4 linked regions of the Saccharomyces cerevisiae S288C genome follow. The protein of the gene in region 3 interacts with the protein of the main gene of each other region in a biochemical or structural test. Each region holds a gene or a part of one and is shown on either strand. Other genes may lie near its edges. The genes, in order: TIM50, PAM18, TIM23 and COX4.

The links.
Region 1: the proteins of TIM23 (region 3) and TIM50 form a complex in vitro, tested with the Saccharomyces cerevisiae proteins (12 studies listed by BioGRID).
Region 2: the proteins of TIM23 (region 3) and PAM18 form a complex in vitro, tested with the Saccharomyces cerevisiae proteins (4 studies listed by BioGRID).
Region 4: the proteins of TIM23 (region 3) and COX4 are reported together in a solved structure, tested with the Saccharomyces cerevisiae proteins (2 studies listed by BioGRID, with this or other methods).

The regions. Positions count from the first base shown.
Region 1 is NC_001148.4:428,114-431,900, reverse strand, and holds TIM50 (protein translocase subunit TIM50), read right to left. Parts: upstream 1,963-3,787; coding exon 532-1,962; downstream 1-531. Other genes in the region: YPL062W (uncharacterized protein), read right to left, coding at 1-6; putative peptidylprolyl isomerase CWC27, read left to right, coding at 2,285-3,190; ESCRT-I subunit protein VPS28, read right to left, coding at 3,246-3,787.
Region 2 is NC_001144.5:165,077-168,091, forward strand, and holds PAM18 (Pam18p), read right to left. Parts: upstream 1,008-3,015; coding exon 501-1,007; downstream 1-500. Other genes in the region: Smc5-Smc6 complex subunit NSE1, read left to right, coding at 1-326; RLP24 (ATPase-activating ribosome biosynthesis protein), read left to right, coding at 1,461-2,060; TEN1 (Ten1p), read right to left, coding at 2,244-2,726. UniProt on the Saccharomyces cerevisiae protein: Essential component of the PAM complex, a complex required for the translocation of transit peptide-containing proteins from the inner membrane into the mitochondrial matrix in an ATP-dependent manner.
Region 3 is NC_001146.8:661,167-664,101, reverse strand, and holds TIM23 (protein transporter TIM23), read right to left. Parts: upstream 1,190-2,935; coding exon 521-1,189; downstream 1-520. Other genes in the region: acetyl-CoA carboxylase ACC1, read left to right, coding at 2,728-2,935. UniProt on the Saccharomyces cerevisiae protein: Essential component of the TIM23 complex, a complex that mediates the translocation of transit peptide-containing proteins across the mitochondrial inner membrane.
Region 4 is NC_001139.9:149,173-151,688, forward strand, and holds COX4 (cytochrome c oxidase subunit IV), read right to left. Parts: upstream 1,000-2,516; coding exon 532-999; downstream 1-531. Other genes in the region: TPN1 (Tpn1p), read right to left, coding at 1,865-2,516. UniProt on the Saccharomyces cerevisiae protein: Component of the cytochrome c oxidase, the last enzyme in the mitochondrial electron transport chain which drives oxidative phosphorylation.

The sequences.
Region 1 (3,787 bases), on a different chromosome or scaffold from region 3:
TATCATGCCCTTACGTGAGGGGCAGTGTCGTATGTGACGGCAGTTCCTGACCTGATAGTGTGTCTATTTGTCTGTTAGCGTCCGCGGAAAGTTGTGAGTACGGTTTTTAGTTTAGTTTCCACCCGGGATTATACTTTTGGCTACCCTGACTGGAAGGCGGCGGCCTTATATTCGAATGAACATGCCAGGCATTGTACGAATTGAAACTTTTTTCGTATGACGTTACGAATAATTCCATTCGGCCTAAATATTCTTTTTTTTTGGATTTTTATGCTAGTGAAGGAATATGAGATATGCAAAGCGCATCAGATCATTAGGTGTGTCTACATCGTTAAAATTTAACATAGAAAAAATAAATAGGCGTGTTTGTACGTAGTATGGTGATGTTAGGAGGTGCAGTGGTAGTAAGTTAGCAATATACATAAGTTTTATTCACATGACAGTAACAAAATGAGGGTGTGGGGAGTGTACAGGTACATTTACATACACACATAGATACGTAGATACATGAGAAGAGGGTTTACATGAAAATTATTTGGATTCAGCAATCTTCTTCTTTTTCTTTTCCTCTTCAAATAAGGCGTCTACCTCCTTCTGCTTCTCCAATTGTATTTTCATTTGTTCTTCTGGCGAAGGCAAGTTACCTTCAACATAGTCTTTCAGCGTAAATGTTTGCCCGCCCATTTGCTCCTGCTGTATTCTAATTTTTTCCTTTTCTTCCTCAATCATCTTCATGAACATTAAATAGTTCTTTTGTCCTTCTTCATGAATCAAATCGAGCGGGAACTTGGTGCTGCCGCCCAGGGAATTTCCGAGACCTAGTGCCGTCATTGCCCAGTTGCCACCAGATTTATGATCTCCGTAAAATTTATCCTTCAATTTTTTCACACGATGATCAAATTCTTCTGCTAGGTTCTTCTTGTCTTCAAAGCTGTTCAAGATTGGTCTAACATCCTTGGTTTGTTGAGTGGCAAGGTACTCCAAAAATGGAATCAATCTTACTAATTTGTCATCAGCTTCACCATTCCATGGCTCCATTGGAATAGCATTTTCAGGTTGCAATTTGTAACTGTTAGGGTCAGTGTCAATAATGATTACTTTACTCAAATCTCTATTCAATTTTGACAGATCCTTAATGTGCACACCGTCTTTGTAAACACAGTGTTCCTTGAACAAATTATAAGATACGAATGCATGGATTGGATCTAATTTTTCAGCGATTTTGTCAGAGTACATCATATAGTTGGATGAAAACAAAACAATTTCGTAATACTGCGATAGGTAACCCAAGAAGTAGTCAGCACCAGGTCTTTTGGCCGTTCTCCAACCATGCTTTTGAGACCACTCAGAATGAACCAAAAAATCTTCCAATGTGATAACAAGAGTTAATGGCCTTTGGTACGGTGGTGGTGGTGGTGGAGGTAGTAAATCAGGGAAAGGTGGCTCTTGGAAGTAGGTGAACATTGAGTTGAACCTGGCCTTGAATCTTTTATACATAAGTGATAAAGTGTAGCCATTATCGATGTCTTTCTTCAATTCTTCAGACTCTTGAGGCTCCCAATCCCTTGCCATGTAGATTGCAGTACCTGTCAACGCAGACAACGAAAAAATGTAAAACCAGTTAGCATACTTTTCTCTTTTAATATCTGTAGAAGTTTGTCTTTTTCTTCTAGATTTTTCACTTTTGGAAGAAGGTTCATTCTTGTCCTCTCCTCCTTCTCCTGATGTTTCCTCGTTTTTGCCTTGGCCCTTCTCATCGACGTCAACACCGGCCTTGAACAGCATATCATCTGTAAGAATGGATTTAGGCTTGTCGTCTTTTGTTTCTTTTTGTAAAAAACTTGAATAACTTGTTAAAAGTCTTCTGGATGCTTGAACCGATGTTAAGGTGTTGGCGGCAGATGGCACAACCCTAAGAGCCCTTGAATTTAGTCTCACCGAATTTCTTAAAATGGACAGCATTGCAAGCGGGTGATTTTTGGAAGTTTATTCTAGCTGTGATGTGCTAAAGCAAAAAATCAGTTATGCGCCAAAAGCTAATCACGAAATTGAGTGGATGCTAGAAATTACCGTTCCGATTAATCCTGACGTTATGTTCGTTTGCTGAATATATCTCACTTTACTGAAAGAACTTCCAATTTTTTTTTTTTCCTTTTCCGCTGTAAAGCGTCTGAAGAGAAAAAAAGGTTCAAAATGTCCTGAGAATAATTTATTGAATAATTTATTATTCAAAGCGTATTACAGGAAACATGTATGATGAGTTTTAAACCAAAGTAAGAATGCTATGTCCAGTAATATAGAACCTCAGACAACAGCTAAATGTATACTGTATACAACAAAGGGGAACATTGCCATTGAATTATGGGCTAAAGAATGCCCTGAGACATGTAAGAGGTTCTTATCTATGCTCTCAGATGGCACATTCACCAATGGAGAATTTAAAGAGTTAAAGCCAACACAGTGGCTAATGTTTAATGCAAATAGTACTGGTGAGTACCGTACAGTTGCTGAGGAAAAAAATCCTCGTATACGCTTCAATAGAGATGGACTCTTGGGATGGGATAGACGAAGGAACACATGGTTTATAACTGTGCTGGCGGATTCTAAGCACGTACTGAACGATTGTAATGTATTTGGCAAAATTGTTGGGAAATCTATTTACATCTTTAGAGAGATCTTGGGCGGCGAAATTGAAGCTTCCTCCCGTGACAATGATGTCAAACGATTCATGTATCCTGCAGTTTTGAAGGATGTTGAGATTACCATACCATTCTTTGAGGACATCTTTGGATCAAAAAGAAGACTGGAAGATAATGAAAAAAAAGAACAAGAGCCGGCAAAGAAACTTGTGAAATCAGCAAAAGTAAAGATGGTTTATGAAGATGAGCAAGAGGATGATGATGGTGATGTTCAAAAGCTTAAGCCAAGAAAGAGAATGATTCTCCCAGCATGGATCAAAGATGATAGTCGCAGTGAAGGAATTAAACTAGACGCATCCTTAGATCAGCCACAAGAGGCACTAATTAGGGAAAAGACGGAGTTGCATGATAATGTTGATGAGGCAACCACTAAAGAAACGGAAAGTCAAGAAAACATCAAGGAAGAACCAATGGATAAAAGAGAGCGGGAAACTTTGGCAATGTTGTCAAAATTTCAAGAACGAATAAAAAACAAGAATATTCTAAAGTGAAATAGAAACGCTTGTGTACTTATATATGTTATCATAATTTCTATTTGTTTATTTCTTAATCCAGTAAAGCATAAAAACTTTTATAGGCTAGTTCTAGATCAAACAGAAGTTCTCTAATTTGTGTTTCAGTTAAAGTGTCACCAATTGAGAGTTTATTTATTCTGACAATCCAGTCAATGAGTTTTGATCTATTCTCAAAATCATCCCTGGTGACGCGATTTATGCTGATTAACAGTTCAGCCAATAAGGGATGTAATTGATCTTTTGCATTATAGTTTAGTTTCAAAGCATCCATTACAGTGATGAAATTACCAGTGGCCTCAGCGACGTATTTAGCATTAAACTTTTTGTCGCTAGAAGAACTTTGTTTATTATCACCAGAGGGAGCCGATGTGGTAGTGGATATCGCATGTTCTGCTGTAATTGGTATGCCCCTCTCCAGTCTTGTTATTGCGTTCGAAGCAGTGATGTTGTATGTATCGCAGAACGCTTCTATGGATTGGAAATGCTTGTTTATCTCTTCTTTATTCTGAGAATTCAGGTAGACCTTGAACTGCTTTAGTAATTTGTCAACAGTATTAGTGTATTGGGTGTCAT
Region 2 (3,015 bases), on a different chromosome or scaffold from region 3:
ACTTACTACTCCGATTATGCGAACTGAAATGGTTTTACAGGACTCAGGAAGGGAAATTCGGTATTGATCTTCGCTGTATAGCAGAACTAGAAGAGTATCTAACATCCATGTACAATTTGAACACTTGCCAAAATTGCCACAAGCTGGCAATTCAAGGTGTCAGGTGCGGCAACGAATCATGCCGAGAAGAGAATGAGGAAACTGGAGAGAATAGTCTGTCTCAAATTTGGCATGTTGATTGTTTCAAGCATTATATTACCCATGTAAGCAAGAATTGTGATCGTTGCGGTTCATCGCTAATCACAGAGGGCGTATACGTTATTTAAACTAAAATACATAGCTTTCCGTGTTATTTACAAGACTTATCTATACAAACATTTGATTGCCCGAAGTATTTTAATCTCCTAAACGGCATGTGATTGAACACGGTTCGAGGTTTATACCACTTGTATTAGGCATATATGCAATTGCAATAACTCATTTTAGGTTCCCGTTTTACCTTATTTGCTAATACCCCTTTTTTCCAAAAAGTCCTTAGCTTCGTTTATCTTAGTGGCCAAAAATGGAGAACCACCTTTGTCAGGATGATTAGCTAACATAATTTTCCTATGAACCTCTTTCAACTTTTTTTTAGTCAATGTATTTTCTGTCAAATTCAAAATCTGTAGAGCCTCTTTAGAATTCATTTTCGGGTCAAATCCGCCTTTCAAGAAGGCAGTAGTGGATTTTCCACCGTTAAGTCCCTTCGATATTGATTTATATGCACCGGCTGTAAAATATAAAGTTAAAAAGGCCCCAAAACCTGTTATCACAGGATGTTCTCCCATGTAGTTCAAAGCTTGATCAAAATAAAGGTCCATTCCGGTCTTTTGACCCTGCGAACCATTCTGGATACCGACATTAACACCAGCTCCATCAACAGTAACGTTCGCAGAGCCATTAGTTTGACCAGGAATGGGTAGTTGTGGTGCCTCAATAGAATTACCAGTATTACTTTGAGAACTCATGATATTGTGCGGGTGGAAGTGTTTATGCAACCTTATTAAACTGTGCTCGGCCAGTGGAGACGTACAAATTCCACTACTATTCGTACTTTGTCTAGTTCAAGGGTCTCCGTCGAGTGAGTCCTACGTTGATTCAAATGGCTTTCACATTTGGTCCGATTCTCGCTCTTTAAATTTTTTGCCCGCTCGCCTCGAACTCAGCGGAGTGAAAAATTTTCACTCGTCTTTTATTAAATAATGTATTTCTAAACTCATCTCATCTCATCCCACCCTATCTCCAACTTACATCAGTTTCTATCTTGATCCGTGATATACCACTTTTAAGTTCTTCGACTTGTGATTTGAAAGATATTGCTATTCAAGCGTGAGTTGTCCATATTGTTACCACCACCTCCCCGTGATTTACATTCAGAAACTAAAAGGAAAAGGAAGTAGAAGTTTAGTAAGTATAAAAAAATGAGAATTTATCAATGCCATTTTTGCTCATCCCCATGTTATCCAGGTCATGGGATCATGTTTGTGCGTAACGATGCTAAAGAGTTTAGGTTCTGCCGTTCTAAGTGTCACAAGGCATTCAAGCAACGTCGTAACCCAAGAAAACTAAAATGGACCAAAGCTTTCAGAAAGGCTGCCGGAAAAGAATTGGCTGTGGATTCTACCTTGACTTTTGCCCAAAGAAGAAATGTCCCTGTTAGATACAATAGAGAGTTAGTTGCCACAACTTTGAAGGCTATGGCTAGAATCGAAGAAATTAGACAAAAACGTGAAAGAGCCTTCTACAAGAATAGAATGAGAGGTAACAAAGAAAAGGACTTCTTAAGAGATAAGAAATTGGTCGAATCTAACCCAGAATTATTGAGAATCAGAGAAGTTGAAATTGCCAGAAAGTTGGCTAAAGAACAAGAAAGAGCTGAATCAGTATCCGAACAAGAGGAATCTGAAGAAGAAGAGGAGGATATGGAAATCGACAGTGACGAGGAAGAGGAAGAACAATTGGAAAAGCAAAAGATTCTGCTAAAGAACAGAAGAAGAAATACAAAGAAAATTGCTTTTTAGTTAGAACAGAACCGGGCTAATTGCCTCTTTCCTTTCTTTTCTCATACTTATTTCATGGGATAAATAAGAATCACCTGTATACTATTATTTACATTACATAACATTACAATAACTATTTTCAAGGGTCCTCTTACATTCTTATCAAAGGTATTATATAATCTCAGTATATGCCAAACGTCTGACTTAGGAGTTAGAGATGTTCAGAAACTTCTCACCAAGTGGTGATTTGACAAATTCACAGAAATCACGAACGTCATTCCTGGATAGTATCTTAAAATCAATGATTTCAAAAATTGGCGGACTTTGGTGTATTCCATACCATACCCCAATGCGAACATCCAGTACCTGCCCATTTATCAATCTCAAATCATCTTTATGGGCTGAAAATAATCTTTCGCTCATATACAAACGCATCTCCTCTGCGCCATTTGTTGAATTGAGGCAATGAAGATTTCTAACTATCATTTGACAGAAAAAACCTTTAATGAATTCTTCATCCGATTTACAGAACAAGAAATCTACTAATCGAACAACAATCCTGAATCTTTTGGACGGATGAATAATGTTTGGTTCCATTCCGTTTCCACCGTAAACATTGTTATGAATATCGTAATTCGTTGCTATTTTATCCTTCAAACATTTTAAGTCTAGAACTAACTGGCTCATATAACACTGTCGTAGTTCTCTAAAAAGAGCAAATAGAGCTGTATGTAACCAATACAATATAGTGAATTATGTCCTAGAATAAGGGCATTCATTATTCTCCATCTCTGCTTCAGAGAAAAAAAAAAGAAAAAGAAAAAATAACGACAACTGCAGGACTCGAACCTGCGCGGGCAAAGCCCAAAAGATTTCTAATCTTTCGCCTTAACCACTCGGCCAAGTTGCCATATGACTATTGATTTATATCATATTACGAGCCCAAATAATACTGGGGTGTTTTGACAATCCTAAT
Region 3 (2,935 bases):
ATATTTTACCATTGTTTGGTTGTAGGAAGCAAGGGTTGAGGCCTAGACGGCGCAGTTTTTTGCGGGTTCTTTGCTGCTGTTATCTCGGTCAGGTGTTGATCGTTAGCAGCTATTTAGCGTGAGGTGTACAGAGGCCGCAGGGCTTTGTGCTGCTTCCAAGCAGGTCTTGCCGGGCGAATCGGTGGGCCGGGACGGCTCTGACAGTTTCGGGAAATACCCGAGAGTGAGCGGTTTGTTTTACTTTAATTGGCCATCGAAAACAATAGCTTAACAGTACAAAAGGCAAATAACATACAAGTAGTTGTATATATGTACATATCTACACATACATGCGCTCTTTCCATCTTTTTTTTTTGTTTTTTTAGATCTTTTCTCCGGGTTTCTACTTTCATTGGTTTGTTTTCTGCGTTACGTACTATTATTTTTCAAATGCTATATACAAGCGCCATCAGTGCATGGGGGAAAAGCGAAGAGGGAGAGAGAGAGAGAAAGAGAGAGAGAGAGTAGGTTCTTGTGTTGCTCATTTTTCAAGTAGTCTTTTCTTGACACTACACCAGACGGCGCACGCAGCGGCCACCATTGCCGAGGAATAACCCATGGGTTTCAAACCTTTTGAAGACTTGAACAAAGCGCCCGTGAGGGCCCCAGCGCCAATGGAGCCCGCGGTGTCATGTTTGCCTCTTAGTGCATCTATTGTAGAATTGATGATATTGTAGCTCAACGCGAGAATCCCCGCATTATTACCTAAGAAGGGACCTCTCTTAGTAATGTGATTCAGGACGGTGTTCAATTGCAATTTTCCGGGACTATTGGGCGGAATATTCTGCAGACCCTGCATCATACCAGAAAACCCTCCGATACCAAGTCCCAGCAGGTAGACGGCACCGGTACCGTAACATAGGTCATCGGTCCACCCACGGGAAGGGATCAGACCCTGTGAGCCTTCTAACGAGGATAGTTGTTCTTCTTCCAGATCTAAATACTCCACACCCTTGTCTAGACCAGCCAAAGGATGCAGCCTAGCGGTGTCGACATGCATTCCACCAGGACCTGATATTATGTTATTGATGTTTGGCTCGAAACCTAAACTCTGCTTCAACGATAGTTCCTTAGGCTTGGTTGTATCTTGGCCGCCCACGGCAGCATTCGCATCATCGGTAGGTGTCTTATCTCCAAAAAGCCACGACATGATTGTGTGTGATCTGTTAAACAAGTATACCTATATTATCTTGGTTATTTTTTTTTTTTCTATCTGCTTTTGTTAACGCTATAACGTGTAGTATGTACAGGCAAAGAGAGTAGAAGAGGAAAATGGTCTTTTTTTTTTTTTTTTCTGCAATGGAGGGCGAATGCAATAACCTATTATTTCTATTAATTAAACGCAACAAATGTTTCCCTTTTGCTCTACGTAAAGGTTCCTTTCTCTCTTTTTTTTGTCGGTGTCTTTTTTTTTTCAGTATTTTCTCTTTTTTTCAATGAATCGTCGATTTCCTTTTCTTCCTTTTGCGATTAAATTATTTTTACCCAGCTTTAGCAAGCCAGTTCGTACGCAGCGACTAGCAAACAGCCGGGTAACTCACATTTTGTTTGCACACTTAAAATACCCATACAGAACCATTATATATGTTGGGTTGAATTGGGACCTAATGTGCTGCTCAGGTGCCGCGTATATCATGACACTTATACTTGGTGGGGAATCGCCCGTCAGGCCTGAACGCAACGAACCCGCGCATGCATCGACGTCACAGTGAGCTCAGGCCGCATCACGGCCGTTACGCCCTCCAGAGTCACCACGACTGCGACTAGTATCATCCGTCAAGAAGAACAAGAACAAGAACAAGAACAAGAACAACAAACTCCGGGCACATCTCTCGGCTTCAGTCGCTTTCGCTCATTGCCTGTAGGTTGGCCCGATATGCGTTGACGTTATCCAAAGGGGAATGCTTCATCTTGTTGAACAACGCCCAACAATTTCCACTGCCCACCGAATCGTTGCGCCCGTTAAAATCTTCACATGGCCCGGCCGCGCGCGCGTTGTGCCAACAAGTCGCAGTCGAAATTCAACCGCTCATTGCCACTCTCTCTACTGCTTGGTGAACTAGGCTATACGCTCAATCAGCGCCAAGATATATAAGAAGAACAGCACTCCCAGTCGTATTCTGGCACAGTATAGCCTAGCACAATCACTGTCACAATTGTTATCGGTTCTACAATTGTTCTGCTCTCTTCAATTTTCCTTTCCTTATTCTACTCTTTTTATCCCTTTCGTACAGTTTACCTGAAGATAAAAAACAACAAAGCCAATTCCCTAATTTGCAATCGCCATTTGCATCTATATATATATATTTGTTGTGCCATTTTTTTATCCTCTGTGAGTGATCGGTGCATGTGTTTATAAAAGTTTATTCATTCTACTATACGAACTTTTCCCTCTGCCCTTCCCTCCCGCTTCATCCTTATTTTTGGACAATAAACTAGAGAACAATTTGAACTTGAATTGGAATTCAGATTCAGAGCAAGAGACAAGAAACTTCCCTTTTTCTTCTCCACATATTATTATTTATTCGTGTATTTTCTTTTAACGATACGATACGATACGACACGATACGATACGACACGCTACTATACTATACAAATATAATAGTATAATAACCGATTCGTCTTCTAGCTTAATTTTTTTCCGTTCCCGAAACAGCGCAGAAAATTAGAAAAAATCAAGTTTCTACCATGAGCGAAGAAAGCTTATTCGAGTCTTCTCCACAGAAGATGGAGTACGAAATTACAAACTACTCAGAAAGACATACAGAACTTCCAGGTCATTTCATTGGCCTCAATACAGTAGATAAACTAGAGGAGTCCCCGTTAAGGGACTTTGTTAAGAGTCACGGTGGTCACACGGTCATATCCAAGATCCTGATAGCAAATAATGGTATTG
Region 4 (2,516 bases), on a different chromosome or scaffold from region 3:
GAGAACATCTCCCAAGGAGAACGAAGCAATACCGGTAAGCTGCTTACCGTCGGGGCAGGGAAGTTCAATTCAACTCCCTGTGCCGAGAATTTACTTTTTTCGAAAAATCGACGTCTTTAAAAAAAGAAATCAGTATGTATGGGTGGGTGTATGGATGCTGTAAGCACAGTCTAGAATCTTTTGGAAGTAACTTCGCAACAACCTCTAGCTAGCCATCTCTGACAGAGATAGAAATAGTAATCAGTTATGACATGAATAGTACTAATATTAATAAGAATTTTTAAATAAAAATATATCTCGACCTTTTCTCGATCTTTTTGGTTATGTATTTTTTGGCTCTTCATTATAGATAGAGCAAAGCGTTCGCCTTAACCTTCCTGCAAAGAACTTTCTTGTGGAACTTTGTTAACATGACGTGTGTAAAAGCTCAGACCTGGTAAGAATATTCGCTAGGTTTCCAAAAAAAAAAATATAAATAAAGAAGAAGGTAAAAAGTAAAAGAGAAACAGAAGGGCAACTTGAATGATAAGATTAGTGATGGTGGTCATCATTTGGAACACCAACAGGGTTTAGTTTGTAAACAGAACCACATTCCCAGCATCTGGCGACTTCGTTAACAGTTGGTTTTAACCACATAATAGTATGTGAACCAGCGGGAGAACCCGTACAACCGACATAACGATAATCATCATAAGATTCAATGATGATCGGATCTTTCATGGTACCCTTCCTGGACGAATCTAATGGTTTGGTGTCGAAAACATCGATACCCTCTAATTTACCCAATAATTCTAACCTAGCTAAACCAGTTTCTTGATCTAGGTCTGTTGGAACGGTACCCTCTTTAGCACCAGGACCAATCAAAGTTTCTGGACCATTAACTTCTGCTAAGTTTTGGGCAGTTTTCACCACGGGTTTTTGCTGAAGCAGATATCTAGAGCTACACAAAGTTCTTGTGGCTGGCTTGAAAAATCTTATAGATTGACGTAGTGAAAGCATTGTGCTTGTTATCTATTTGTATGGCAACATCAAAATCGAAATGGGTGAGTATTGTTAGTATACTGTTTCTTCAGGGAGAAGAATACGTTGACTAAAGGAAAGTGACAGGGAATATTTCGCATCGAATTCTTCATTATATGATGGACAATTTGGACAATTATGCAATTATCGTCTCAAGCCAAATAGAAAAGCAGGGAACGAGTTAAACTTGCAAATAAATTTTTTCTTAAAGTCAAATCCAGATTTGTTTTCTCTTAGTTCTTTTCCGTTTCGTTCGATCTGTTAAATATCTTCTTTCCTGGTAGTTCTTCTCCTACATCTCATGTATTTTTCAATAAGAGGATTATAACATACATTTCAAAATAATCTTATTTCCTGTTTATGCTAATTTTTACGCAATTAGCGTGCCTAAGTACAAAAAAATGTTTTGTAAAAAGTATGAAAAAAATTCTAATCTTCGTATATCTTTCTTTCCTGTGTTTATACTTGGAAGAAGCGAAGTATTTTATCCTTGAGTGTGTCTTATTTTCTCTTCCCTTTATTTGCTACTAACCAAGATGGGAGATATCGCTTTTTCGAAGGACGCCTTTGGAATCCGCTGATCTTATTGGTGGACAGTCAGCTGACAGAAAACTTAGATCGTGACAGCAAATTAAACGATTTGTGCTACTGTTCAAAGTGTCAGTATATCACTCGATGATTTCAATTGTCCACCAGGCTTAGATTTTCATGTGAAAAGATAATGTGTACAAAAAAATATCCTCCCTGAGCGTAATTTAACATACCATGAATCTACCTGCCAATATTATCTAAACTAAAGTTTGCCGCTGCACCGTAGTTTTAATATATACTTATGTCATTTCAATTAACGACCAAATTTACGTAGCTCTAAGTATCTACAAGGAGGGTATACAACACCTGAGAACGCCATACTTAACCACATTGCGACATCACCACCATATTCACCAAATTTGGCAGCAATTGGGCCAATCCAATAGGCTTGCGCCATACCAACTACCACACCAGCAACTCCTACAATAAACGCAAATGTTGCTGCATAACCGTGCGTTAAAACCTCATAATCTTCCCATTTGTCCCAATTGTAACGATGTTTAGTCACCTTATGTTTTCTTTTTAACAAATGGATATTAGTAACTGCATCTTTCTCCACTTCTTTTGAAGATCCAACAAGTTCCGGTCCATTTATTTCTCCTGTAACTGTAGGAAACTCTTTGGTGTACAAATGTAAGAAAAACCTTCTGAATACTAAATTCTCTTCGAATAATAAGATAAAGTACATGCTAATCCAGTAGCCTATCATTGGTAGGAAATTTCCCAAAATAGTACTAAAATGATTACGACCTATTAATGCGCATACCAAACAAATTATAGTACAAACAATAGACCAGAACCAGCGAGGGATTTTTGCACAAAACACACTAGAAAGTTGGATGGAGAATGCTGCCGAATACGTATTGATGATGTTGTTGGATACCAAACTGAATACCAGTACTACC